4 linked regions of the Canis lupus familiaris genome follow. The protein of the gene in region 2 interacts with the protein of the main gene of each other region in a pairwise test. Links are inferred from orthologs where the notes say so. Each region holds a gene or a part of one and is shown on either strand. Other genes may lie near its edges.

Evidence for each region.
Region 1: the proteins of TTC23 (region 2) and MAGED1 interact in binary tests that used the Homo sapiens proteins (3 or more experiments, as listed by UniProt). The two-hybrid records come from large-scale screens. The link is inferred for Canis lupus familiaris from reciprocal best matches to the Homo sapiens genes TTC23 and MAGED1.
Region 3: the proteins of TTC23 (region 2) and tripartite motif-containing protein 10-like interact in binary tests that used the Homo sapiens proteins (3 or more experiments, as listed by UniProt). The two-hybrid records come from large-scale screens. The link is inferred for Canis lupus familiaris from reciprocal best matches to the Homo sapiens genes TTC23 and TRIM10.
Region 4: the proteins of TTC23 (region 2) and CREBZF interact in binary tests that used the Homo sapiens proteins (3 or more experiments, as listed by UniProt). The two-hybrid records come from large-scale screens. The link is inferred for Canis lupus familiaris from reciprocal best matches to the Homo sapiens genes TTC23 and CREBZF.

What each region holds. Positions count from the first base shown.
Region 1 is NC_049260.1:44,747,641-44,754,937, forward strand, and holds the start of MAGED1 (melanoma-associated antigen D1), read left to right. Parts: upstream 1-3,264; 5' UTR 3,265-3,309; intron 3,310-7,297. UniProt on the Homo sapiens protein: Involved in the apoptotic response after nerve growth factor (NGF) binding in neuronal cells. Inhibits cell cycle progression, and facilitates NGFR-mediated apoptosis. May act as a regulator of the function of DLX family members.
Region 2 is NC_049224.1:41,887,624-41,895,050, reverse strand, and holds the start of TTC23 (tetratricopeptide repeat protein 23), read right to left. Parts: upstream 4,898-7,427; 5' UTR 4,765-4,897; coding exon 4,713-4,764; intron 3,621-4,712; exon of another isoform or gene 3,606-3,620; intron 1-3,605. UniProt on the Homo sapiens protein: Participates positively in the ciliary Hedgehog (Hh) signaling.
Region 3 is NC_049256.1:27,846,402-27,853,592, reverse strand, and holds the start of tripartite motif-containing protein 10-like, read left to right. Parts: upstream 1-3,111; 5' UTR 3,112-3,284; exon of another isoform or gene 3,285-3,372; intron 3,373-3,464; 5' UTR 3,465-3,524; coding exon 3,525-3,944; intron 3,945-4,933; coding exon 4,934-5,029; intron 5,030-5,535; coding exon 5,536-5,766; intron 5,767-5,824; exon of another isoform or gene 5,825-6,077; intron 6,078-6,208; coding exon 6,209-6,327; intron 6,328-6,420; exon of another isoform or gene 6,421-6,652; intron 6,653-6,656; coding exon 6,657-6,772; intron 6,773-7,191. UniProt on the Homo sapiens protein: E3 ligase that plays an essential role in the differentiation and survival of terminal erythroid cells. May directly bind to PTEN and promote its ubiquitination, resulting in its proteasomal degradation and activation of hypertrophic signaling.
Region 4 is NC_049242.1:13,869,364-13,876,792, forward strand, and holds the start of CREBZF (CREB/ATF bZIP transcription factor), read left to right. Parts: upstream 1-2,806; 5' UTR 2,807-3,068; coding exon 3,069-3,191; intron 3,192-3,224; coding exon 3,225-4,211; 3' UTR 4,212-7,429.

The sequences.
Region 1 (7,297 bases), on a different chromosome or scaffold from region 2:
GAGAGAGCAGAGTAAGTGGAAGAGAACATGAGTAGGGGGAGAGTAGAGGAAGAGGGAGAAGTAGGCTTCCTGCTGAGCAGGGGCTTGATCCCTGGACCCTGGATCATGAACTGAGCTGAAAGCCAGATGCTTATCTGACTGAGCCACCCAGGCACCTCTAAAATTATTCTTTATATCTTTATTATAATATATGATATATAGAAAATAATGCATGTGGTTATAATGGGCACCCAGAGGCAAGAACTACAGCTTTATAAATTCGTATTTATTATGTTATTTTGCTTATTGCTTGTCTTCCTCACTAAAATGTAAGTTTCAAATGTGTGAGGATTTTTTTCCACTCCTTTAATTAAACATGTATCTGTATTGCCTTGAACAGTGACAAGCACACAGTAGTTGACTAACAAATGTTTGTCGAGTGAATAAAATAAAGTGATAAGAACAAGGTACATGGTGGAAGCAGAAAAGAGGAACAGTTGTCTGGTTTTGATTAAGGAGTGGAAGGAAGAGTCAGCAAGGCTTAATGATAGAGATAAAATATGAGCTGATCTATGAAAGGTGATACTAGATAGCAGGGTGTGAAAGCATGTAGATTTGAGGTCTCAGTGCGCTTTCCAAATTGTAAGCACTTGTATGAGACTTTGACTTAGGGTGGGAAAAGGAAAAGCTGAGTAGTTAGAGAGGAGCCTGGAGAGAGAGAGAGACAAAGTTAGACTACCAAGGTTTTTGTATACCATGCTAAGGAGTTGGGATTTGGGGAGAAACATGGAGGGTTTGAACTAAGTGATCCTGATGACTGAGAGAAATGGATGAAATCTGTAACTATTCATATATCATCCTTTCAGTGAGTTTTTCCATAATAGCATTCGTCTCCTCTTCCCCTGTGTACATTGCTATCCTACTTACTTGCTTTGTTTCTTCATAATACTTGTCACCTTCTGGTATGTTTTTTCTTAAATATTTTATTATCCGACACAAAAATGTAGTTCCTGTGAGGGCAGAAATTTTTATCCATTTTGGTCATGGCTCTATCCTCAGAGCCTGGTGCATATTAACTGTTCGATAAATATTTGTTGCATGGATTTGTCAAAATTTTGAATGTGGAGGAAGTCGAGGAAAAATTATCAGATTTCGATGCCTCTGGATTTCTGATAATCCACTGGCTAACTTTTCCACCTCAATTCCCAAATACAATTAATTATTAATAGCATAAGCCCCTAATTTTCTGTATTTATTCTTTGATTACACCAATATCCTCTGAATCAACCTCTCTGCCTCCAGATTGCACCAGTACAACCCATTTTCTGTATTCTGGTTTTAAATATTACTAAATACTTTCTTGCTTAAAATTTTTCTTTGGCTTTCTGTTTTCCTCATAATTAAGCTCAAACTCCATGATCCTTCCTTCTCTGGCCTCTTCTAACATTCAGATTCATGACCCATTACTACTCCTTTCACAGTATACTTCAAGTCCACTGCCATTCTTCCCTTTCATTCGTCCATTCAATAATCTATTCAACATTAAACAAATCTTTATTGAGCACTCTCTAGTAGATAAGGTGTATTTTAGGTTTTTAGTATTCACCAATCAATGGGATAGTCATAGTTCCTACAAGGTCTCCTTTACCTATTATTTTGTCGCATTATAGCGTTGCTACTTGTTTATGTATTCATTTCCCCCACTGTTTGGAGGGTCTTGAAATCCAGGACTGAGTCTTATTCTTCTTTATATGGGCAATATCAGGAACGGAACCTTACGCTGAGTGGTTGTTCAGAATCTGCTGTTTGAATGACAAAATATGAGTTAAAATGTTGAAATGAACTATAAAAATACCATCAAAAGTAAGAACCTGGTGCTGGCCCCTGTCATTTCCCTGATCACATTTTGGTTATTTATTCATCTGACAAACATCAATAATCACCTATTTTATGCCAGGCTCTTATGTGTTTAAAATGTCACGTTTAGCTCCTAAGCTGTGGGTTCCTACTGCAATGCCCATGAGTGTAGCGCAGTATTTGGGACATGGTAGATGCTCACTGTATAGTAGTAGATTGACTGAAAATAACCACAAAAAAGGAAAACAGGTACAGATTTTGGACCCAGTGTTTTCTGGAGGTAGTGGCAATAGGTGATTCAATATTGAACTTTTAACCAGAGTAAGGATTATTCTTATTATTGAAAATTTTGGGAATCCCTGGGTGGCTCAGCGGTTTAGCACCTGCCTTCAGCCCAGGGCATGACCCTGGGGACCCCGGATCGAGTCCCACGTCGAGCTTCCTGCATGGAGCTTGCTTCTCCCTCTGCCTGTGTCTCTCATAATAAATAAATAAATAAATAAAATCTTAAAAAAAGAAAATTTTGTCAGTTGTCATTTTCTTGGGGGGGGTATATACATATACAAGAATGCTTTCTAGATGAATTTACCTTTATTTGTTAATTTGAGTATAGCATGTAACTCTTTGGATACTATTCCGAGACAAAAATGATTCAGATCTAAGATTTTTTAAAATCTCGAAATCGAAGTATGCCACTTATAAAAATGAACTTTTTACTCAACATGGTATGTTAGAAAATGGTAAACCAGTATGGCAAATACATAACTGTTGGCATCCAAGAGTCAAGGCACTAAGGGTTAGGAAGGTATTTTAAGGGCTAAATCAATAAGGCGAGGTGACAAATTTGGATATGTGGGGTTTGGCTGAAATAATGCAGTTCTTCGGATGACTAGAGTTAAAATTTCTTTTTTTTAAAGATTTTAGGGCAGCCCCGGTGGCTCGGCGGTTTAGCGCCGCCTTCAGCCCGGGGTGTGATCCTGGAGACCCGGGATCGAGTCCCACATGGGGCTCCCTGCGTGGAGCCTGCTTCTCCCTCTGCCTGTGTCTCTGCCTGCCTCTCTCTGTGTGTCTCTCATGAATAAATAAATAAAATCTTTAAAAAAATAAAGATTTTATTTATCCATAAGAGACACAGAAAGAGAGAGGCAGAGGGAGAGGGAGCCCGATATGGGACTCAATCCCGGGACTCCAGGATCACGCCCCGGGCCAAAGGCAGGCTCTAAACCGCTGAACTACCCAGGCGACCCTAGAGCTTTAATTAGTAAAAAGTTACTGTCTCTGAGCCGGTTCACATCACTAACCAGCTTCTGATACGCTGAAAGCCAGAGCAATAAAGTATTGTAAAAGCTTGCTAGAGAGGCACAGGAAGTTGCCTGTAAAGGGGGCGTGGCGTCGGAAAATAAGTTTCCGCCAAACGAAGGAAAATAGCGCTTCCGGTTACGCCATCGTTGTGTCGGGGCTTTCTTCACTGAGGTGAGTGGAAAGAAAGAGGCTCATAATTTTCACAAGTGAGTCTCCAAACCCTCCCGGGAAGCTTTCCTCCTTGCTTCAACATGGGGTGGAAAGATTTCATCCCCAGAGCACATTGTGTGAAGGATGTTTCTGACGCTTATGGTTCCGGTCGCCTGTCTACCTATTCTGAAGATGGCAGGCTGTCCTCCCTCTCTATTTTTGTCCTTTTATCCCTGGTCATTCTTCACCTCTCCTCGTTACCCCAGATCCTCTTCCTGATATTTCTGAGCCTGGGCCATTTCCTCTACCACAGATTTTTTTCCTACCTCTTAACTTCCACCTTCTTCCCCGGCCCCTTTTAGCCTCAAAACTTTTGCAACCCCCTTCTCCCGTTAGGAATCTACGCCCTTCCTTTTTCTTCAGCTCCAGTACTTTACTTTCCACCCCCCCCGCCCCTCCTGCCCGCCTCTTTCAGAGTCCTTTGAATTAAAAACTTGCCAAAACCAGGTGTGACTTCAGTTTCAAGGTCAACTCTTTTATTTCCTTAAAATAAGCAGTGGCAGAAATTTTAGTCCTAAGACACAGGAGCTTGTTCAGATTATTATATTATTGCTGAGTTTATTTTTACTCTTAACCAAAATGATACATCAGAAACTGCACTGATTTTAACCCTCCTGACATAAAAAAAAAAAAAAATTGGCACAGAACTCAATCCCCACTTTTTAGAGGAGCAGTCATAGGGGTTTTGCCTGTAAAACTTGTGTCAATTCTTGATGGTCGAAGCTTTCCCATCTCCTTTAGAACTTGTCATAGGACAGAAATGGTTGACGGATATGACATCCAATCACAAATTTATTTTTTCATATGAGTTATGCCTATTCAAATCTTTTTCTGGTCTTTGGTGGCAACATTGAACAGCAAGCTGACAGATTTTCAAAGTTTTCCTGGGAACTTCGCAAGTATTCTCTATTTCGTGCAAGGTGAAATATATTTTTCTGTTCCATTCATCATGTTTACTTTGTCTCGTGAGAACGTTAGTTAATCACAATTTATTATTCAATTTTTTACCCAAGAGAGGGGATATGATCATTAAACTTAAAATGAGTGTCAGGATTATTCAGGCTCTAAAGAGGAATTTATTCACCAAGAATTCCCTTGAACAAGCAATTTATTCCTTTCCTCCTGTAACTAGTGTGTTATACTTGCCAAAATAAGACGTAAATCTTTTTCTGGGCTAGGTGTAATTTTCAGTTCGTTTAGAAAAAAGTCAGGCTCGACTTCATGATACTAAAACACTTAAAAACTTTTTTGAAGGGTATTGCTGATGTCTCTGTATTCTCTAGTCAAGTTATAGTAACACAGCATTTAAATATCCCACGGCTTCAACCCAGTGTGCAACCATCATTTATTCATCTAAGAATTTTTTTATTGAATAACTTTATGTGTCAGACAGTGTTAAGCACTGAGGATACAACAGTGGAAAATAAAAAGCTTATTAAACTTTAGTTGAGAGACAGTAAATGAATATATAGTAAATATGAGTAAGTTGTAATGGAGAGGAGATGTAGTATTTTAAATAGGGATGGTGAGGAAGGCTTCCCTGGTAAGGCAACATTTGAGCAGAAACCTAAAGGAAGTGAGGGCACGAACTATGTACAGCTATTAATGGGAAAAACAGGATATATCTTATGTTGGTGTCTCTGTATTTGTTCACTCTGCTTCCACACCCCCCTTGCCCATTGTCACTTTTTTGCATGGCTTTAATGTAGCACTCTACATACTGAAATAACCTAATCCAGGCACATACATTTCCCATATTCTTTTGTTTTTTAATCTTGGCGAGCTTCTTGCTATCAATTAGGTATGTTGTTAGTTACCAGCCCTCTAGGAAGACATGTCTTTACATACATTTAGGTATGTTGTTAGTTACATACCTAATACGTCTAGAAGACGTATCTTTACATCCATCCTCACGTCTTCTTCAATCTTTTATCCGCAGTGCATTGTGTGCTATCCTACAGCATATTTGCTTACCTCTCTCACTGCTCTTATCACTGTGTGCTCATGATATGTTGCCCATAAATGTTTGGTATGTTAAATTGGAGGAATTGAGTACTTGTCTGTCTGTACAGGCAATCTTTTAAATATAGTTGGCCCTGGGATGCCTGGGTGACTAGGTAGTTGAGCATCTGCCTTTGGCTCAGGTCGTGATCCTTGGGTTTTGGGATTGAGTCCCGCATCAGGCTTCCTACAGGGAGCCTGCTTAACCTATGTGGTGGTATTGTTTGATCTTTCATTTGTATTCACAATTTATTTGTAATTGATTTCTTTGTATGTTTTCAGTATGAGTTATTGGTATGCGTAAAGGCCCCCCTTTTGTACATTTTTTGAAATGGACATTCAAGGGTGCCTGAGTGGCTCAGTCGGTTAAATGTCTGCCTTTGGCTCATTTCATGATCCCAGGGTCCTGGGATCAAGCCCTGTATTCGACTCTTTATTCAGCGGAGAGTCTACTTCTGCCTCTCCCTCTGTGCCCCCACTTCACCTCATGCTCCCACTCTTTAAAAAAGCAGATATTTAATCAACCTAATATCACTATTGAAAAGATAGCTATTTCCCTCCTATAGAGTCATGTTTTTCATAAATCAAATGACTAAGTTATTTATGTGGGTTTATTTCTTCTGAATTTTGTTCTGTTTGGTTAATTTTTCTATCCTTATATAAGTACCACTGTTATAATGGATGTCCTTTTATAATATATATCATATGTATATAGTCATTTAGTCTTACAGTTTTGTTCTTTTTTTTTCAATAATGCCTAGTGATTCTTGGTCTTTTGAATTTTCATATGCATTTTTAAAAAATATTTTATTTATTTACTCATGAGAGACAGAGAGAGGGAGAGGCAGAGACAGAGGCAGAGGGAGAAGCAGGCCCCGTGCAGGAAGCCGGATGTGGGACTTGATCCTGGGTCTCCTGGATCATGCCCTGAGCCAAATCAGACGCTCAACTGCTGAGCCACCCAGGCGTCCCTCATATGCATTTTAGACTCAGCTCATCAATTTCCACAAAAATTCTTCTTGACATTTTGATTGAAATACCACTTAATACATCCATTTGAGAAACATACATCATGGCACTTTACCCTTAAATATCTCAGTGTTTATCTCCTAATATTAGGGACATTTTATAGATAATTTAATTACCATTATGTCACCAATAAAAATTAAGAATAATTTCCTAATATCATCTAATACCTATACATTTTCTTTTTTTAATTAAAAGTTTTTTTAAAGATTTTATTTATGACAGAGAGACAGAGCATGAGTGGGGATAGAGGGAGAGGGAGAAGCAGACTCCTTGCTGAGCAGGGAGCCCAATGTGGGGTTCCATCCTAGGACCTGGGATCATGACCTGAGCCGAAGGCAGACGCTGAACCGACTGAACCACCCAGGTGCCCCACTTAATCCGTTTTCAAATTTCTTTCTTTTTCCCAATGTGCCTTTCATAGCTGATATTTCTGTTTTAAAAAAGACAAGTGGTGCTTACTAAGGTTCTATTTATCATCAGGCAATGTATAACATTTTATTTAATTAAAACAAAAAAAAGAATTATGATGTACAAATTCTTCCATTTAATAGGAAAGGAAAGGAATCAAATTGGTTAAGAAACTTGTTCAATTACAAAGCTTCAAAAGCTGGGACGCCTGGGTGGCTTAGTGGTTGAGTGTCTATTTTCGGCTCAGGGCATGTCCCGCATCGGGCTCCCTGCGAGGAACCTGCTTCTCCCTCTGCCTATGTCTCTGCCTCTCTCTGTGTGTCTCTCATGAATAAATAAATAAAATATTTTTTAAAAAGCCTCAAAAGCTCTTCACATTCAAATGCATAGTTCTATAATATCCCATGCTCTTATCACTGTATATCATATACAAAAGAATAAAGGTAAAAATCAAATAATAAAGAGGTAGGGAGAGGAAGAAATCCTGCTGAGGGACCTGTTATTTATAAAA
Region 2 (7,427 bases):
ATCAGCCTTTCAGAGATCCTTCTCCATTTGTCCCTCTCCCCATGTAGATCCTTCAGACTCTGATTCTATTATTTACTATAGATAAGTTATTTCAAATTTCACCCTTATTGTTATTCATTCATCAACTATTTATTAAATTTCTACTATAAACAACGTACTATGTGGAAAACAGTAACTCCGAGAAATGCAAAATCTAGCAGGAAAAAAGATCAGGTATACAGCTGCCATGATACTGATACTGGGTACTATAAATGCTGGAAAAGTGGGAAGTATTAAGACTTCAGAAATAGGAACCATTACTGTTGTGGGATATCAGGTTGCTTGGCTGAAAAGATTCTGAGAACAAGGACAGAGAGGAGAAAGCACCCCAAGTGGAGTGCATAATTAGCAAAGGCTCAAAAGTGCAAATGAATTGGGTAGATATCTAATGGGGGGTGGTTCAGTTTGGTTGGTAAGTTTGGCAGGGGGAGTGGGGGAAGGTTGGAGACATGGATATAGAACAGCATTTTCCAAACCAACCTATTACACTAGACACACAAGACATTAATGTACAATCTAAAAGAGAGGGTTATCGACAAAGATGATCAAGTAAGCTGATAAACACACAGACTGTTTCCACAACAGGATATGTTGTTCTATGATAAACATGGACAAGTTTCATTACCTCGGTTCTCCTCAAAGGTTTGAACATGGTATAATTCCTTGTGAATAGAACTCAGAGGGATACAGTATGCAACACTTTCCCTAACTTTTTGGACTATGAAATCCTCTTTTAAAAAAAAAAAATAATTAAAAAAAAAAAAAAAGAAATCCTCTTTTCTGGAGCACTCATTAACTCTTAGGCAACTGGTACTTTCTGAGCACTGTTTGGAAAGCCAGGAGGTAGAGGAAGACTGGAAGGCTGGAGCCAGGCTTAGAAGACATTGATTTTAGGTTAAGAGTTTAATTGACTTTATTTGGCAGGTGGTGATGAGCTCCTCAAGGTTTTATCAAGAAAGATAAGTGACAATGCTGAGACAGATCTGTTAATTAGTAGGCAAATATAATGGAAACTATAGGCAGTAAAGTGGTCACTGATTTTCAAACTTTTCTTTTACCATCTTGACAACTGTTAGCATATCTATATTCTGCCTACAATATTAACTTTTTCTTTAAGGCTACAACTTTTTAAAAACCTAAATATTTACTTCAGCTTCACCCTAAAAAAATAACCAGATATATTATGGGTTTGACATCATATTTTCTCCAATACATGTTAAAATAAAAACACAAGTATTAATAATATTTTAAAAGTTGGTCTGGGGCAGCCCCGGTGGCCCAGCGGTTTGGCGCCGCCTGCAGCCTGGGGTGTGATCCTGGAGACCCTGGATCGAGTCCCTTGTCGGGCTCTCTGTATGATGCCTGCTTCTCCCTCTGCCTGTGTCTCTGCCTCTCTCTCTCTGTCTCTATGAATAAATAAATAAAATCTTAAAAAAAAAAATTTCCCTTTAAAAAATAAAAAATAAAAAAAAAATAAAAGTTGGTCTGTGTTCCACCTAACATCACATTAAGCATCACCAATTTTAAACATTGCATACCTTGGGAAATTCTAAATTTGAGCAACGTTTGACAACCATTTTTAACCATGGCCCTTCATGTAAGATTTCATTGGTTTTACTTTCTATAATTTATATTCTGACAAAGCAGGTATTTTCCCTAAAGTTAAAATTAGAATATTTTATATGCTTCTTAAATCATCCCCCTAGCCAATAAAAAAAACAAAAACAAAAACAAAAAAAACCAATAAAAAAAAATCATCCCCCTAGAAATTTTGGTACCCTCTTTACTAAGTGGGTATGGTCCTGCAGCCAGCCCTTACCACCAGTCGCACGAATCACTGAATATTGTATAGAATGAATTCATGTGCACAGCAGCAGTGAGAAGGGAAGTGATGGGAAGGATAAGAATTACTGAAAGAAGTAATTACTCAACTTGAGAGCTGCTTAGATGTAAAAATTGAAGAAGGGAAACAGTCAAAACTGACTTTGACATTTTCATCCAGGAACTCTAGATAGGTGCTGGCACACTATGGCATGGGCCAAGTGCTGCCCACTGTCTGTTTTCATAAATAAAGCTTTATTGGAACACAGCCCTTTTAATCCATCTACATCTTATCTATGGCCACTTTTGTACTACAACAGCAGAAGTGAGTATTTGTGATAGAAACCGTATCGCTCTCAAAGCCTAAAGTATTTATTATCTGGCCCTTTACAGAAAAAGTTTACTGACCCCTAAAACACAGTAATGTCATGGACAGAAGTAACAAGATAAATGAGAATTATCCTTTTGATAAGATAATCAATTTGGTCTCAGCCAGATTGAATTTGAGGCTATGGGAGAAAATTTCTATAAGAATGTCCAACTCAAAAAAAAAAATTAAAAAAAAAAATGAATGTCCAATTCAAAAAAAAAAAAAAAAAAGAAGAAGAATGTCCAACTCAGAAGTTAGAAATATATTGGGCCACCTGGCTGGCTCAGTCAGTAAAGCATGTGACACTTGATTCAGGGTCATGAATTCAAGCCCCATGTTGGGTATAGAGCTTACTTTAAAAAATTTTTAGAAGAAAAAAGAAGCTAAAAATATATCACTAGTCCTGAGAGACATCTTTTTAAAGATAATATTTTTCCTTTCCTTTTAAAAAAAATTAGTAACCTTCTATGCCTTTATACAAATAGAATTTGAGATGTCTAGAGGTTAAGTGTTGAGCAGTTAACCTGGACCTACCTACCAAGGTAAAGGTGGCCACCCCTTAATAATCCAAAATAGAGCTTTACATTTTCACCAAGAAGGAAGAAAGTCAGAACTTTTCTTTCTTTCATGAGACAATATAGAATGAAAACATGAGAAAGGGAAGAAATTGGTTGAAGGCCAGTCTGAGAAAACTTCAGAGGCCAATCAATCCCAGCAAAACCATTCTTGGGTAGCCCTTCAAAACGTGGAAGGCTCATCTTTTGATTCAACATTTAAGCTTTCCCTAAACCCTGCTGTACAGAGACTCCGTGCTATCTCTGATGCCAAAATGGTGGCTGACTTTTTTTCTAACAAGCTCTTGACTTAAGCTTTCTCATCTATTCAGCCCACTAGTTGATGATTTGATCATTTCAGTAAGTGTTATGGTCTACAAAAAGAGCAGGAGATTGGGTTTGGGAATCTGAGATTCAAAAATCTGTGCTGGTCCAACTACTCACATGATTTGGGCAATATCAACTGGTATTTACATAACCCTTTATGCTTTCCCATATTTTATCTTTTGTGGCCCTTGCCATAGCCATGTGGGAGACAGGTATGATTATCTCTGTTTTATAACTGAGGACAATGAAGCTGACAGAAGCTAAATTACTTGCCCCATGTCACACAGGCAGAATCAGGACTCCAGTCGTCTAAGAATTTGGTGGTTTCCTACCACATCATTCTGACTTTCATTGACCAGTCTTTAGGAGTGGGAAGCAAATATTCTTGCTTTGGAAACCTAAGATGGCATTTTAAAAAGTAATCATACACTTTTATAACAAGGAAATGTAACATCTTCAACAAATCTAACCACACTTTCTTATCTTCTACTTAGGGGAGGCAGAGAAGAAATTTTAGAAGCTATGTGAGTAATATGCTCTGTAATATTTGCTACTCTGGGCCTTGAACCTAGTGCTAAACTTTGAAATTGAGCGGATTTTTCTTTCTTTTTTCGGCTTAACTGTAACAAGTGGTTTGTCTCACATTGCCTCTTAAAATATTAAATCCTTAAAAGAGCCATTTTAATCCAAGCACTCACAGGCTGGATCTAACTTGCACATGCTTTTTTTTTTTTTCTTTTTGGCCAGAAAGGGGAAAAAAAAAATTAAGCCATTACTTTAAAATTAGAAGGTTTAGGATCTGGCTTTTGAGATTTTTGGCTTCCTATAAAAACAACACTATCGGGCAGCCCGGGTGGCTCAGCGGTTTAGCGCCACCTTCAACCCAGGGCCTGATCCTGGAGACCCAGGATCGAGTCCCATGTCGGGCTCCCTGCGTGGAGCCTGCTTCTCTCTCTGCTTGTGTCTCTGCCTCTCTCTCTCTCTCTCTCTGTGACTATCATAAATAAATAAAAATTGAAAAAAAATATTAAAAAAAAATACTGAGCCTATGTCATCACAGGCAACAATCCATCAGGGGGGAATGGCAGAAGCCGTGGCGATTGCCAGTTGCCACCACTCCCTATTGCTCCTGGACAGGGAGGCACCAAAGTAGTTGCCATTTGTCATTGCTCCTGTGTTGCTTTATCCTTATAGTAAAAGAATAGGTCTCTGTAACCATACCTCTCTTTCAGAGTGAAAGGCTGACATAAAGGGATATGGCTTTCCTAGCCCATGCCACTTGCCACTCGTTTCCTAAATGTAATCTGATCTGAGCCATCACTGATATAAGATTATCAGATACATCACTATCCTATAACCACTAAGAATAAAACCACAAAGCTATTAAACTATGACTTGCCATCAACGGTAACATGCATTCCAATTTCAGAGATGTTTAAACACCAAAATGTGCATCTCTGCCAATTAAATGAGGCACGGTACCTGCCTGGCTTTTGGAAACATGTGAATCTATGACCTTGCTTTAAATATGTGTCTGTGTCAATGTGTGTTGCATCTTATAGTAACATCTTTAGCACAGACATCCTCTTCAGTTCACTTACTTGGAGCTACATGCTTATCATCAGTCACTTTTGTTTTCTTTGTAATAGCCATAGGTGGGGCTTAAATTTTCATTAGAAATCAGCCCAGGGCCACACAGTACCCTCTCCCTGCCAGCCTTGGGTAAAGCTTCCCAGGCCTCTCAATCGGCTCCCACAACTGCCAGTCAGACATATCCAATCAATTGATGCTATTCCTTCTGCCAGACCTGTTCAGTAGAATGCTGAAGCACATGATCAGCCTCAGAACAAAATGGGAGGAGGAAGAGGTCTGAAGTGGGGTCTCAGTCTTCCATTTCAAGAGGTGATGTTCAACAATTTAAAACTGGTTTAGCAGGAGGACCAACCAATCTGTATAGATGGCAACTATGCTGGAACTAGGTTCAGAAGGTCCCCTGCTGTTACAGGTGTTAACCCTTGGGGGCTGACTTGGGGGAGGATGTAGGAAGCTTGAGGGCGGGGCAGGAGCCCCCAGGGCAGTGGCTCCTGGGAAACAACAACCATTATGACCGTATGAGAGTGTACTGGTTAAAAAGCAACCTTGCCCATAGGTAAGCTGTGGCATCAGCAAGCTATGAAGTGGAAAAACATTCTGGAAGGATACAAAACATCAAAACCGAATTGAAAGGAAATAAAAAATCTGAATAGAACTATAACAAGCAAATAATTTAGTAATTTAAAATATTTACATAAAGGTAAGCCCAGGCCAAGATGGCTTCAGTGGTAAATCCTACTAAACCTTTAAAGAAGTAATATGAATCTTTGCAAACTCTATCAGAAAAATAGTTTGCAACTCTATTCTGTGAGGCCAATATTATCCTGCTACCAAAGCCAGACAAAGACGTAATAAGAAAACAAACCAATATCCATGATGCTTTTGAACACAAAAAGTCCTCAACAAAATATTAGAAAAATCAAATCAGGCAAGATATAAAGAAGATTATATATTATGACCAAGGGGGATTTATCCCTGGAATAAATAAATAAAGCTGGTTGGTTTAACATCTGAAATCACTAATGTAATACACCATATTCATAGAATAGGGGGCAAAAACTGAATGATCATATTAATAAATGCAGAAAAAAAATGGCAGGATACTTCCTTCATCTGATAAAGGGCCAATAAAAACTTTTTAAAAACTTAATGCTAACATCACACTTAATGGTGAATGTTTGACTGCTTCTCTTTTTAGACTGGAAACAAGGCAAGGATGTTTGCTGTCATCATTTGTATTTAAGACTTAATGGGTATTCTAACCAGTGCACTAAAGCAAGAAAAAAGTAAAAGGCATGCAGATTAGAAAGGAAGAAAAAAAAATTTAGTTTACATGATCTTCACACACACACACAATTCAGTTGACATGATCTTCACACACACACACACACCCCAAAACAAAATGAAAACAACAACAAAATCCTACTAAAACTGTTAAACAATTTCAGCAAGGCCAGAGGACACAAAATAAACCAAAACTGAATATCTATCAATCTGAAAATGAAATTAAGAAAACATTTCCATGCACAATAGGACCAAGAAGAATAAAATACTCAGGACTACACTTAAAAGAAGTACAAAACTTTTACACTGAAAATTATATAACATTTACACTGAAAATTATATAACATTGCTGAAAGAAATCAAGGGACACTTAAGTAAATGAGATACATTCCATACTCATGGATTAGAAGCCTTAATATTATTAAGATAGCAATACCCCCAAATTGATCTATAGATTTTATATAACACCTATCAAAATCCCAGCTGTCTTTTTTTTTTTTTTTTTGCAGAATTTGACCTTAGATTTATATAGAAATGTAAAAGACCTAGGATAGCTAAAACAATCTTGAAAAAGAACAAAGTTAGAGGACCATTCTTCCCATTTTATTTTTTTTTAATTTTATTTATTTCTCTATCCATGAAAGACACAGAGAGACAGACAGAGGGAGAAGCAGGCTCTATGCAAGGAGCCCGATGTGGGACTCGATCCCGGGTCTCCAGCATCGCGCCCTGAGCCAAAGGAAGAGGCTCAACCGCTGAGCCACCCAGGTATCCTCATTCTTCCCATTTTAAAAACTTACAACAAAGCGACAGTAATCAACACAGGGTGATATTGTCCTAAGGACTGACACTATATGTTAATGGAATAGAATTGAAAGTCCAGAAATAAACCTCTACATTTACAGTCAATTATTTTTTGACAAGAGTACCAGGTAATTAAATGGGAAAAGAATAGTCCTTTCAACAAATGATGCTGGAACAACTGGATAGGCACATACAAAATAACAAATTTGGACCCCTACCTCACACCATATACAAAAATGAACTCCAACTGGATCAAAGTTCTAAAAGTAAGGGCTAAAACTGTAGAGCTGTTAGGAAACAAAGGGATATGTATGAGCTTGGGTTACACAAAGATTTCTATGTACAATACCAAAGGCACAATTGATAAAAAGAAAAAAATAAATTGGACTTTATCAAAATTAAAAACTTTTGTTTCAAAGACACTGTCATGAAAGTTAAAAGACAATTCACAAAATAGGAGAATATATTTGCAAGTAATTGTAGATATATCACATGTTTGATAATGGACGTTAATCCAAAATATATAACAAACACAATTCAAAAATAAGACAAAAACCTAAGTAAAAAAATAGGCAAAAAATTTGAAAAGACAATTTACCGAAGAAGATATATGAATGACCAATAAGCTCATGAAA
Region 3 (7,191 bases), on a different chromosome or scaffold from region 2:
TGTGGTCAGAGCTGTCACGGAGAGCTTGGCACTGCTCTCAGCCCCCAAGGTTGCCTTCTGCACGGCATACTTTGAAGGGAGCAGAGACCGCTGGAGGTCTTTTCCTGGTCCCACACTCTACTCCTGTGGTCAGTGCCCCAGGGATTCTCTTACTGCAATGTCTCTCCTGGGTAACCATGTGGCTCAGAAATAGAGATGGCAGTGAGCCAGAGAGCCACAGCACTCACCCACAGTGCTCAGGGCCGGCCTCAGATCAGGACTAGACCAGAGAACTTCCCATCTGAAGGCAGTGCTTCCCAGCAAACAGACTGGGATGGGAACAGCGGCCCAGGTCAAGAGACCCAGGTCCTAGGGGCGCCTGGGTGGCTTTGTCACTTAAGCATCTGACTCTTGATTTTGGCTCAGGTTGTGATCTCAAGGTCATGGGATTGAGCCCACGTTGGGCTCTGAGCTTAGCGGGGAGTCTGCTTGGGATTCTCTGTCTCTGCCCCTCCCTGTTCACTCTCTCTCTAAAATAAATAAATCTTAGAAAGAGAGAGAGAGAGAGAGACCCAGGCTCTAGCCATGTCATCATGACCTCGGCTCTGTGGCCTTGGCAGTGGTCACGTTCCCAGACCTGTTCTCTGCTCTGTAAGGTGGCTGATAAGATGGTTGTGGACGGTGTATCAGAACCACATCCAAAAAATAAAAAAATAAAATAAAAATAAAAATAAAAATAAAAATAAAAAAAGAACCACATCCAGCTGTGATGTGGGACTGGGACTCCACAACCTTGGCCCAGATGCCCTTGGGCAGAAGTAGGGAAGTGAAGAGAATATCTTTCCCAATGGGCAAAAGTGCCAGAAACAAGCTTCCCCGGAGTCTGATAAGAAAACCCCCAAAAGAGGGATGCTGGAGTGGCTCAGCGGTCGAGCATCTGCCTTTGGCTCAGATCATGACCCCATAACCCCAGGATCAAGTCCCACATTGGGCTCTCTGCATGGAGCCTGCTTTTCCCTCTGCCTCTGTCTCTGCCTCTCTCTCTGTGTGTGTCTCTCATGAATAAATAAATAAAATCTTAAAAAAAAAAAATTAAAAAGTTAAAAAAAAAAGAAAACCTCCAAAAGAGAAGGAGGCCAGGACTGGGGGGATGGTGTCCCCAAGCACAGAAAGGCCATGTCTAGCTCCCCATCATCCAGACCCTTGGCCCATTCCCTTCACTGTGGATGACAGCACACTGTCCACCCATGCAGGCCCAAGGGGAAGCCTTGCTCCTTACCTAGTAGGGCTGAATGGCTGCGTCCAGGACCCCCTTGGTGTGGCCCTGGTGGTCAGGACCCTCCCAAAAGAGCACACAGAGGAGCTATGTGTCGGTCTCACAGAAGAAGTAAATCTTCTCTCCATGTTCCTCATAGTATGTGTCTCCAAGCAGGCCCAGTGGCACTGGCACCATGGGTGTCTTTGGGCGCTCCTGGTTCTTGCAGCATGGACAAAGCAGGACCTCGCAGGATGGCTGGGCCCCCATCTGGGAAGGCAGGAGGAGGCACGGCCAGCAGAGGGCGTGTCCACAGAGGGCAATTACTGCATCCCTGAGGGGTCTCCTGGCGGGAAGGGCTGGAAAGCATCATGGTACCTCCCCAGCCTGTCCAGGGAGGCCTCTGCCTCTGGCCATGGAAGTCCTCTCTCCCTGAACTCATTCACTTTGGCGTGAGTCATGGAGGGAACATCATGGGTAGCTGAGAGAGAAGACAACAGGAAAGTCCCAGTGGGGATGCCACCCAGCTCTACCTCTTAACATTTCCCGAGCCCGAGCTGAGCCAGGACCACCACACTTCAGCTGAGTAGGTTCAAACTCCAGGATGGCTCCCATTACCTAGCACTTCCCAGCAGTGGCCTGGTCAGCCCATCCGCCACTCCTCCATGTCCTTCTGGTCCCTAGGGTGGACTTCATGGCCCCCAGTGTGCCATGAAGTCACAGGGAAATGGATCTTCCTGGAACACTTCCTGTGACCACTGTGGGGTGGAGAGCGTTCGGAGAGCAAGGAGCAGGTGGGAGCCAGGAGCTCTGATTATAAGGTGTGAGCTGTGCCTGCGGCGGCAAAGTCCAGACTGCCATGGGAGGCGCCCCAGGGCCCCTCCTCTGCCTCCCTATGGGGCTCACCCCACCTGCCTGGCCCAGCCTCCTGAACCCCAAACAGAAACAGGGTGATGCTGGGTCACGCTGCACTTTAATTTCAGTCTTTAACCTCAGGTGGGAGAAGGCAAGAAATTATAATACAAATGATTTCTGTTAATGAAATGTAGAAAACTCAGCTCAAAAGGTCAAGGGTAGAATAAGCATATTTAGGAGAACTTAGTATTTTCATATTATTACAGCCAATCTGGCAAGAACCCTTTAGAACAGTTAGGACGATGTTCATTTTCCAGATGAAGGCATGTGAAGGGCCAGAGAGTGAGGCTAGCTAGCTCTAGGGTGGAGAGGAGTCTCTGAGCTTCCCAGCCCTATGCTGTCCCCATGCCCTGTGCTCTCCCCACACTGACCCCATGCCCACGGAAGGCCCCACAGCCACAGTCCTATTCCTGTCCCTGCATCTGTGGACAAGCCAAACACCCAGTCCTGCACCCAGCGATCAGTGCTGCATGGTTTCACCACCTCTTCACCTCTGTGGTTCGGTGTACCCTCTTTGTACCCACCCCCCCCACCTGTCCTTCATGGACCAAACAAGGGCCCATGGCTGGTTCCTGCTGAGATCTCAAAGACATAGCACCATTAGGACAAATGCAAAATGTTTCATGATGCATTCCTAGACTGAGCACATGGTGATGTGATAATTTGGGGGGCTAAATAAACTACGATAATGAACTTCATTTAGTAAAATATAGCTACCAGCAAACTTCAGCTGAATCCAGGGCTCACGTTGTGTTTCTGTTTGACAACAGGGCTAGGATGTTCAGACCTGAGTGCAAGTGTGTGTCTGCCCCCACCCAGCATCCACATGGAGTGGCCGCCTGCCCATGCCTTTGAGCACAGGCACCTTATCTGGGAGTGCACGCTGCCCTACCTGCAGACCCGCCAGCCCTGGGCCTGCTGATACCTGCAATCTGCCCGCACAGCCGGCAGCTGCAGGGGGGCCAGGGTGGCGGCTCTGCTCCCCAACCCACTGTCCCTCCCATCCAGAGGAAGGTCCATGTCCTCAACGGTGCGCGGCTGAGATACTGCCCCGTCCTTCCCAATGCATGTCTGCGGACGGACGGATGGACAGGAAGACACACGCAGCCGCCCAGAGAGTAGCCACATCGTGTGGGTATGCTGTGGCCCCATCTCCCTCCCAGACAGCGTGCACATGTTCCTGAGGGAGGAGGACAGAAGAACCCTGGTGTGCAAGCGTGAGTGTGAGTGTGTGCACGACCACAGGCATGTGCATTTAAGACGTGCTCCTCGTGTCTGGGTGTGTGCACACATGTTTGTGTATCCTCTCCCCCAGCCCTGCCCCTCAGCCACGCACTGACGCTGGCCGTGAGGACCTCCCGGGCCAGGTGGTACCATGGCATCTGTGAGCAGCCTGGCCGACGAAGTCAGCTGCCCCATCTGCCAGGGCACGCTAAGGGAGCCAGTAACCGTTGACTGCGGCCACAACTACTGCCGGGCCTGCCTCACCCGCTACTGTGAGATCCCGGGCCCTGACCCCAACGAGCCCCTCCACTGCCCCCTATGCAAGGAGCCTTTCCGCCTGGGGGGCTTCCGACCCAACTGGCAGCTGGCCAGCGTGGTGGAGAATATTGAGCGCCTTACGCTGGTGTCCACGCTGGGCTCAGACCAGGAGGACGTCTGCCAGGAGCATGGGGAGAAGATCTACTTCTTCTGTGAGGACGATGAGGCGCAGTTGTGTGTGGTGTGCCGGGAGGCCCAGGAGCACCAGGCCCACACCGTGCGCTTCCTGGACGAGGCAGCAGGGCCCTACAGGGTAGGACACGGGCCACTGGGGGTCCCTGGGCGCAGGCACGCCCTCCTTCCTGCCTCTCCTCAGGCAGCCGACCCAGGGGTGGGGACCGCATGTATGCTCAGGGCTCTCCGTGTTGCTCACAGATGGCCAGCACATACAGAAGCTCAGCAGGGTGTGGAATGGTTGAGTGACCACAGTGGGTCAGGGGTCTGAGGATGTTGGAGTCATGTCTGGGGGTGGACTGCACAAACAGCAGGGAGTGTGCATGGACGTTCACCCAGTTGCGTGCATTTGGTGTCATGGGGTGGGGAGCATGTGTGTGCTCGTGTTTGTGGATACTTCAGCGTTCAAAATCACGGAGGGGAAACATAATGTGCAATTGTGTCTATCATCAGCCACGTGCTCCTCTTAGTCATGTACTCACTGCGCTGTGATACAAGTGGGGTCTGTCTGGACATGTTAGTTCACTAGCATTTGACGGTGAGGGCAGGTATCTCTGGATGCCCCTCTGTGGACCTCCATGCATCTGTCCCTGATCCTGACTCTTCTAGAGTGGACAGTTTTTAAAACAGTGTATTGACCACTTTAATATTATGTAAGCCTCTCCTCCCATCTGGAACCTGACAGATTCTTGTCACAAGAGAGGACTGTTTGCACGCATGCCTTCTGAGACATGTCAGAAAGTTGGGGTGCTTTCAGAGAAGGGCGTGTCAGGCTCCAAACATGGCCCAAACAGATCTAATTAGGGTCTTCAGCGTGAAGACAGCAGGGCGCGGGTGGGGAAACTGAGTAGCAGCTTGTGCCGGCCTGGGCGGAGGGGACGGCTCAGGGCTCAGGGGATCAGCGTTTCCAGAGAGCAAAGCTGGAAGGAAGAGAGCTGGGGAGAGCAGCCTGCCAGGACGTTAGGACTGGCACAGTCAGTGTGGGCAGGGGTCCCGTCCTCAGGGCTGTCCACCCCAGAGGCAGAGACCCCCATGCACAAGCCATTGTTTCCTACTCTGTCCCTCCAGGAGCAAATACAGAAGTGTCTTGAGTGTCTGAGAAGAGAGAGAGAGGAGATTCAAAGAATCCAGTCGAGAGAAAACCAGCGGATACAAGTCCTCCTAGTAGGTCGCTGTCCCTTCCCTGGACCATGTCCCCGCGGAGCATGTGGGGCTGAGAGGTCACTCTGAGGTCGTGCCTGGGCTCCCACAGTAACCAGCTTTGTGACCTCAAGCCAGTCTCTGGCCTCCGTATTGCAGCGAAGCAGACACTACAAGTCTCCCTCCTCCCCAAGTCACTGTAATGTGTAGTGTGTTTGTGCCCCTAAAGCAACCTCGTGCAAGACGAGAGGTGTGCTGTCCCCACTGTCTCCTGGTCAGCTCCCGGCCTGAGCCACAGGCTTCTGGAAGCTCCCACAGAGGGGCTGGGGCCACGCCGAGCAGTCAGCCCCCAGAAGCAGCTTGGTGGGTGGAGGGGATGCCATTCTGTCCGGGCACCTGGGGCTGCTGGAGGCTCGGATTTTCCACTGAAACGTGGAGGACGTGAACCTGGGCCCGGCAAGGGCGGGGGGGTGGCAGAAGGAAGGGGGGAGGAGGAGGCATAACTCCCTCCTGGCCTCCACCCTGCCCAGTGCCAGGTGGCCACCAAAAGACAAAAAGTGATTTTCGAGTTTGCACATCTGAGTCAGTTCCTGGAGGAGCAGCAGAGCGTCCTTTTAGCTGAGCTGGAGAAGCTGGATGGCGACATCCTGAAGCAACGGGATGTCTTTGACGCCCTGGTCAGTGAGGAGATCTGCCGGTTTAGCACCCTGGTGGCCGAGCTGGAGGAGAAGCTGGAGAGGCCCGCCAGGGAGCTGCTGACGGTGAGCCCCGCCCGCCCTGCCCGCCCTTCCAGCACCGTCACGGTCCCAGCTGCCCCCTCCACGCATGTGTCCCTGCCTCCTGGACGGTCCCCCCGCCACGCTGTCCCTGGGCTCTGGCTGTCCATCCCACCTTCCATAAAACAGGGAGGACACCGTCCTTATCAACCTCTCAGGGTTTGGGGAGGGTCCAAAGGAAAAATACAGTACAAAGTAGCACTTTGAAAACATTGCCAGCTATTTCCAAGGCATGCTATTCTGCATCACGGGCCACCAGTGGCAGGCACTTCTCCCGGTGCATGTCATCTCCTTCCCTGGAGGGACGATATGAGGGTCCCAGCAAGGCCTGGGAATGGCGGCGTGACATGGGGTCGGGGGGCGCCCACTCGTGGTTCACTGGATGGAGGTGTGGGGGGACCCGCATGGGATGCGCCTTGGCCTCCAGCAGGTGTGCAAGTCACTTCACTGCATGGACCATGAAATAAAGGGCTTGGCCTCCATGATCCCGGACGCCTTGCCAACCCTACAATTCTGGGACTCCAGGACCCCATATGGGAACCCCAGGTTTGTGTTCTCTGAACTCCTGCTCCCCCCATTTCTCCTAGGGCGTCAGAAGCACTCTGATAAGGTGAGCCACATGCCTATCCTCACGCATACCTTGGCACATGTCGCTGCCCACACGCCGATGGCATTGTCACACCCAGGCTCATGGTCCACCTGAACCCCTCATGCCCTCCAACCATATCTGCCAGCAGTGGACCAGGTGTGGGTGGTGGGCCCATCCCAGAGGAAGTATGTCCGCCTGTGGGAGCGGGGACCTCTGTGCCCAGCTGAGTCTGGGGACATCGCGAAGGGGGGGGGGCTTCCCAAACCCTGCTCTTCCTGTACCCTAGGAGTGAAACCAGAAAGTGCCGAAAGCCAGAGGCTGTGTCTCAGGAGCTGGGCCAGAGAATTCGGGACTTCCCCCAGCGGGTCCTGCCACTGCGCAGGGAGGTGACGACGTTTCTGGGTAAGAGGTCCAGTGCCCCGGGCACAGCAGCCCAAGCTGCAGGGACTTTGGGCTAGTTCCCTTCCCACTCCCTCCTTCCCTTTACATCTTTATAAAATCCGCATGTCAGGATCATGCGATAAGTGAAGAGAGAATAAAGACGAAGATTTCAGAAAATATTTAACTGATATGAAAAATAATCACACAAATAAATCTGATCCCTTGACATTGAACAACATCAAAAATAATGATTAACAAAACTTGCCATTCTCAACGATTTACAAAATCTACAAAATCTATCTATTATACACCTATAATACATGACATTTCTGATGATGAACAATGTTAATAACCAGGAACAGCATTTCTCTTGGCCTTGTGGCAGCTTATGTCTCTTCCCCTCCTTCTCCCCTCCCCTCCCCCTCCTCCTTGTCCTTCTC
Region 4 (7,429 bases), on a different chromosome or scaffold from region 2:
ATCAAATACCCTGTGGGAGTAGAGGAACTAGATAACACCAAGGGGAAACAGACATCCAGAATGTGGTGCGTTTTTTAAGACAACTGCCTTTGTCTCTTCAAAAAAACAATATTAAGAAAAGCTAAAAGGTAGAAGGGACAATTCTAGATTGAGAAATAGGGAAAAAAACTTTACAAAAACATAACTGAATGCAATAAGTAACCCTTGATTGGATCCTGGCTCAAAAGAAAGTATCTACTATAAAAGATTATTTTGAAGGAAGCTGAGGAAATTTGAATATGGCATGGATAATAGATAATATTAGTAAATGTTAATTTTCTCAAGACCTAATAACAGTGTTATGATTATGAAAGAGAATGTTCTTATTCTTAGAGATACATACTTAAGTATGTTGGAGTGATGTATCCTGTCTGCAACCTTAGGATGATTCAGCAAAAAAAAAAAGTATATATAATTTTTACAAACATTTTTATATGGCAAATGTTAATTGTTGAATTGTTTGGTCTGCGTATTGGGTAGTATTAGAGTGGAAACTATTCTGTGAAATATTTGGAAAATTTTAAAATTGATATATATTTTTCTATTGTGCACAGATAAAAGACATAAAACTGTGGTTATCAAAAACATTTGAATATTTCAGTGAAGCAATTTCCTATGCAGTAAAGCTTCTAAAGAAAGAGATTGGGGAAAGGAAAAAAAAAAAAGAGCGAGACGGGGGCAGCCCGGGTGACTCAGCGGTTTAAGCGCCACCTTCAGCCCAGGGTGTGATTCTGAAGACGTGGGATCGAGTTCCACGTCAGACTCCCTGCATGGAGCCTGCTTCTCCCTCTGCCTGTGTCTCTGCCTCTCTCTCTCTATGTGTGTGTGTGTGTGTGTGTGTGTGTGTGTGTGTGTGTGTGTGTGTGTGTGTGTGTGTCTCATGAATAAATAAATAAAATCTTAAAAAAAAAGAAAGAGATTGATACTTTAATTTTCTATGGGGATTAAATTTAGAGACTCTATTATGGTCCAACTATCACTAGAACCACTATAGGTGTTTGCTAGAATTTTGATGTTCAACGTTACAGAGATCTGCAGAACTATCTCTGGGTAATTTACTTATTCATTACTCTCTGAGTAGTATTTTCATACATCTGATTTTGGGAATCATTATCTTTGATTTCATATTCTGCATTTATACTCCCTAACACATTCTTCTCAAATGGTAATTTTCTTATGCAAGCCATTAGAAATTGTTGTAGATACTATTGTAGTTAAATTTAGAAAATATGCTTCAGGACAGCCTGGGTGGCTCAGCGGTTTAGCGCCGCCTCCATCCCAGGGCCTGATCCTGGAGACCCAGGATCAAGTCTCACATGGGGCTCCCTGCATGGAGCCTGCTTCTCCCTCTGCCTGTGTCTCTGCCTCTCTCTCTCTCCCTCTGTGTGTCTGTCATGAATAAATAAATAAAATCTTAAAAAAAAAAAAAAGAAAATATGCTTTAAATATTTTTAAAATGAATCAATAAAACCTTATGTTAAAACTTTTTCAAAGAATTATATACTCTACCAGATGGAGATGTATCTCTCTTGTTAAATTTTAGTATGGAAAGAGACCACAACATTGTCACAAGAGTGTATATGTAGACTTAAGAGGGAAAAACTTCTGAAATTCCTAAAGAACTTGGAAGAAATTTAGTTGAAACCTTAGTGTTCTAATGAGAAGAGTTTGCCTCTGTAATGTAGCCCATGTCAATATCTACTTTTAAAACTAGAATTTGTTTTGATTTCAAGTAAAGTCGATGTCAAAGAAAATATGATCCTGAAACACTGACCAGAATAAGTAAAATATAAAATGTAAACAAAAACATTTAAAAACATTTAAAAACTAAGCACATTCATAAAATTGCCAACACAACAGAGAAAAGAATGCAAGAGGGCTGTTCAACCCCACCACAGGGATTTTCAGAGTACTGTTTTTAACCAGATAGATGAAAAACAGCAACAAAATCAGGCTCATTCAGGAAAAACCAGAAAATACTCTATTTGGAAACTGGTAGTAGTCCTTTTCAGGAAAAAAAAAAAAAAAATCTGTCAGTTTCATGAACCCCCGGATAAAACAAACAGGAAAAAAATCACACACACGATTCACTCAACAAAACGTCCTGTGTTAACACAACCAGCAGTACAACCATCACTAAAACCGTGAGGTAGTGATAGTACAAAAACACTGACACACGTGTGAACCCACACATGCTCACATTCACGCCCACTACAGAACACACACAGGAAGTGGGTTTGCAACCTCTTTAAAGACAAGGACAAAACCTTTTTGTTTGTTTAGAAAATGCATAGAAATGGCTTAGACATTTTAATTAAATTATTATAATAAAAACTTGAAAAAATCAAATCACGTACGAATGACTCATTTCCCTCTTTTCCCCCCCTACTACTCTGTGTTTGAGTGAAAGGCTCTTGTGTAACAAACGGAAGGGAAAGGAGCAACTTCAAGCGGTGTCTGATCAGCCGTCATGAAATTCCAGGGAAACGCAGGAGAGCTTTAAGGTTATTCATAAATCTGGAGTGGCGAAGACCGAGTCTGTGCGAGAGTGGTTTCACTGGAAGTGGAAGTTTGAACACGGAGGCTTGAGAAGCGAGGGCGGAGAGAGTAGACCACTTATCAATAACCTCGGGATTTGTTATTCTTGCCGCTTGCGGACTATGACATCACTGAAATTCTGCAACTACTCCCGCTGAGACCTCACTGAACTCTCGCGATACTAGAGCCCAGGGGCGCGCGAAACGCCGTGGGAGGGGCTGGGTGAGATCGACTGACTTCCGGCCAGGCCGTTGTCTGGGTGGCGCGGTCGAGTCATTGCGGGGCCGCGGCGCTTCGCTCTCCCATCCCTCCCCCCGCCCCGGCGCGGGGGGTCGACCAGCCGAGTGGGGCGGGCGGCGACTCGGCCCTTCCCCTCCGTTTCGCTCTGGCCAGCTCCCGGGCCCCGCGCGCTGGGGTCTGGGGTCCTGGGGGCCCGCGAGGCCCGGTCTGAGGGGCCGGGGCCTACGTGGGCCCGCCCGCCGCTGGGCCCCATGAGGCATAGCCTGACCAAACTGCTGGCGGCCTCGGGCAGCGACTCCCCAACCCGCAGCGAGAGCCCGGCTCCGGCCGCGACTTGCTTGCTGCCCCCGGACCTGACCCGGGCGGCGGCGGCGGCGGCGGCGGCGGCGGCGGCGGCGGCGGCGGAGGAGGAAGAGGCGGCGGCGGCCGGATCTCCCGGCCGCAGGCAGCCGCGGGGCGACGAGGGCGACTCTGAGGCCGGGAGGGGGGGCCGCGGCGGCGTGGCCGTGCGCGCGCCCTCGCCCGAGGAGATGGAGGAGGAGGCGATCGCCAGCGTCCCCGGGGAGGAGACGGAGGACATGGACTTTCTGTCCGGGCTGGAACTGGCGGATCTGCTGGACCCCCGGCAACCGGACTGGCACCTGGAGCCCGGGCTCAGCTCGCCCGGGCCCCTCTCCTCGTCCGGCGGAGGCTCCGACAGCGGCGGCCTGTGGAGAGGGGACGACGACGACGAGGCCGCGGCCGCCGAGATGCAGCGCTTTTCCGACCTGCTGCAGAGGCTGTTAAACGGCATCGGAGGCTGCAGCAGCGGCAGTGACAGTGGCAGCGGCGAAAAGAGGCGGAGAAAGTCCCCAGGAGGCGGCGGCGGCGGCAGTGGCGGCAACGACAGCAACCAGGCGGCGACAAAGAGTCCCCGGAAGGCGGCGGCGGCTGCTGCCCGTCTAAATCGGCTGAAGAAGAAGGAGTACGTGATGGGGCTGGAGAGTCGAGTCCGCGGTCTGGCAGCCGAGAACCAGGAGCTGCGGGCCGAGAATCGGGAGCTGGGCAAGCGCGTGCAGGCACTGCAGGAGGAGAGTCGCTACCTACGGGCCGTCCTGGCCAACGAGACCGGACTGGCTCGCCTGCTGAGCCGGCTGAGCGGCGTGGGACTGCGGCTGACCACCTCGCTCTTCAGAGACTCGCCCGCCGGTGACCATGACTACGCTCTGCCCGTGGGAAAGCAGCAGCAGCAGCAGCAGCAGCAGCAGCAGCAGCAGCAGCAGCAGCAGCAGCAGGACCTGCTGGAAGAGGACGACTCGGCGGGAGGAGTGTGTCTTCATGTGGACAAGGATAAGGTGTCGGTGGAGTTCTGCTCGGCGTGCGCCCGGAAGGCGTCGTCTTCTCTTAAAATGTAGGGTCAAGTAATCTGCTCTTTATCCGCGTTTACCCCTTTCAACTCCCTTACACCATGTAAAACACCTTAGTGGGACATCTTCACTGGACACATTTCAGAGGAGGAAAAAGTAATATTGAATCGTTAAGTGTTTAGCTAAAAGCATGAATGTGACACTGTAACCAACTCCTAATGATAACATGTGACTATTAAATCTCTCTGACAGTTTCTTTTTTAGGTGATTTCCTTCCTGCCAGGCTCCGTTGTAGGGGTTACAGAACAGTCGTTCCCGCCTCACAACCTGGTAAGGATCCATCTCTTCACGTAACGCTCATGCTCTGCTGCTTAGTCTACTTTAATGGGCAACATCTCAATTTGTGTGTGTGTGTGTGTGTGGGTTTTTTCTTTTCTTTTTCTTTTTTTTTTTTTTTTTTGGAAGGTGGGAGGGGAAGTCTAATTTGGGCCCTGTCCACCCTGGAAACAGACTTGTGCTGGTCAGTAATGTATTTAAGATGCTTCTTCTGGTTGAAATAGCTGTTAATGTGTCCCCTTGTTCAGACTTGCGTGTACCTAGCTCTTCTGTCCCCAGTGTGGACATGGCCTTGGATGACATCGGTTCCAACTGTACACTGAAAGCTGCTAATAGAGATACAGTTTGGAGACAGTCAAACAGGTGAAGTTGAATGGAAGTTCCGAGTTGTACAAGGTGCAAATTGGAATTCCAATTTTAGAGCAACTTTTTAGAGGTTGACAATAAGTATTTGGGGCTTGCACAAATGTGATAGTTAACTTTGCTGAAGATGACAGAAATATCTTAACTATTTGGGTATGCCTTTTAGTTTTCAGTAGGAGATCTAGAAATACAATCTATTCGGATGAGAAGATTTTAATCTCACCATTTAAAAAGTTGGAAATTAACATGCATCTCTGTGTTAATTAATTGAAGGAGGAATAAGAGTGGTTAATGAAATGTTTCTTTGAGGACCAGCACAGTGATTACCCTATCACTGACTATAAATAAATTGTTGAACACCTTTACTTTTGTTGTATTAAAATTTTAGGTTAAATTTATGTATGATTAGATAAATTGAAGGTTTGTGAAATGTGAATGAAAACATGTAAAGTGAGGCTTCACAAAGAATCTTACTACTCTCCTTATTTTAAGGTTTTTGTCCTTTTTAAAAATAATTTTTTTAAATTGGCTGGTTCTGGCTACTTAAGGACACGATCGACACTTTCCAAAGATGGGACATACTCTTCCCTTGAAGTACTGTATTATCCATTGTCCAGTTGTATAGATTGAGTTACGGTGTCCTTCAGTGTAAGAGGCATTAAGAAATTCTTTGTGAAACATCACTGTTTGATAAAGTATATACATATTTAGCATCCTTGTTTTTCTTTGTGCTAAAGTGGATACAGCTGTTGGGGCAGAAGAGACGGGACCAGCTGCTGGCCACATTTCCTGCTTTATTTTAAAAGGTAGTATAAGAAATGAGGAAAAAGAGGTAATTTCAGGGCTTCTGCTGTCTTTTTATTTTAAAATGTTCATAATTAAAAAGTATTTTCCAGCAGTCCAAAGATGTAAGTTATCTTACACATGTTTTATTTTGTTGTTATTTGGTTATAAAAATGGAATCCTTGTTCTTGCAGAACTGTAAATGTTTTGTTGCTAGATAACATGATTTGAGACCTAACTTTGGTCTCTGGTTTCCAGTGCATTACAGCATATTTTGTAAAATCATCTGCACTTGAGCATGAATGGGTAGTACCAAATTCACAGCCTGGAGTGATGAACCTGCTTATTCCTAAGTGCAGGAGCAAGCCCCTCACAATGCAGCTGCATGGATTTTTAGTGCCTACTGAATTATATATATATACATATATATATAAAAACCAAAAGTAGTTGGAAAAATTATTTGAAATGACTAATTTGTGCTATCTATGGAATATGTTAAATGTAGCTTTTTGAAACAGAAGCCTTGAATTGAAATTTAATTAATACTTGAACATTTTGTATATATTTCTTTGTATATAATTTTGTGCAGTACCAATGACAAAAATACGGTGTCATAATAAAACCAGGTTTGTTGATCTTTCAGTTATGGGCTCAAAGAATTTATTCATCTCTAACATGACATTGGAAAATAATGGATGAAAATAGGAAAAATGATTGTTGTTAATGCTGACTGTGGGTCTTAAAAGGTTCTGGAAGCAGTAAGTGTGTTTTTCTAAAATACCATTCCCTTGGAATATTTTCTTCTAATGTCAGTGCTTTTCCTGCATCATTTGAAGTTCGGGGCTGGGGAGAAACAGTAATCAAAGCTTTCTGAAGTGGGATGCTTTGAAAATTCCAAGTGTAGATTTTTAGGATGTCATTTTATAAATGGCAGTTTTTGGAAATACTTGATTAAGAACTTTTGAAAATGGAGATTAGTATCACCTATTTTTAAAGCTGCTTTGTTAGGCTTCTTATGTTTTAACTGTCTTTCCTTAGTTTCCATTTCATTCTTTTTTTTTTTTTTCTTTCTAATTTTGGTGACTTAGTGATTTTTGTCATTTTTTTACATCAACTTCATGGTCTTGTTTTTACATGGTATTGCATGTATTTAGGACCTATCTAACAGGGGCTTTAAATAAATTTGATCATATTTATGTGTAAGCACATTTTACTGTAAATGTTTGGGTTTCTGAATTTACAACAGATCTGTTGATTTCAGTATGTAGTAAACAATATCTTAAAGTGTCCTATTCACTACTTGTTAATTAAAAAGTTATGATTAATATGAAATTGTTGTCTTACTATTTTTAGAAAATTGTGTTCTGAATGATTGATAGTTGGATAAAGGAGATTTTTTGGCATATAATGTGGATTGTTTTGAAATTTTAAGGTTTGGCTCTACTTTAGAGGTTGAAAACAACTTAGTATTTGGGGAACCCTTTTTTTTTTTTTCTTCCCCCCTTCTTCCCTAATTGCCTCTTTGGCAAAATGATACAGAATTAGTGTAAAGAGGTAGTGTTTTGATATTTGTCTTCTGATGGTGACAGGAATTCATACATTAATTGAACTAACACATCATATTGACCTTCTATTTCTATCATATTGACTTACTGTTTCTGCACTTTCTTGACCAGTCCTAACTAAAAAGTCCACGTTTGTTAAAATGTAGTCACACCTCTGATATAATCCAACAAAAAGTGTTCGAAATATTTTAAATATTTGTGCATTTTGTAATCACTAAA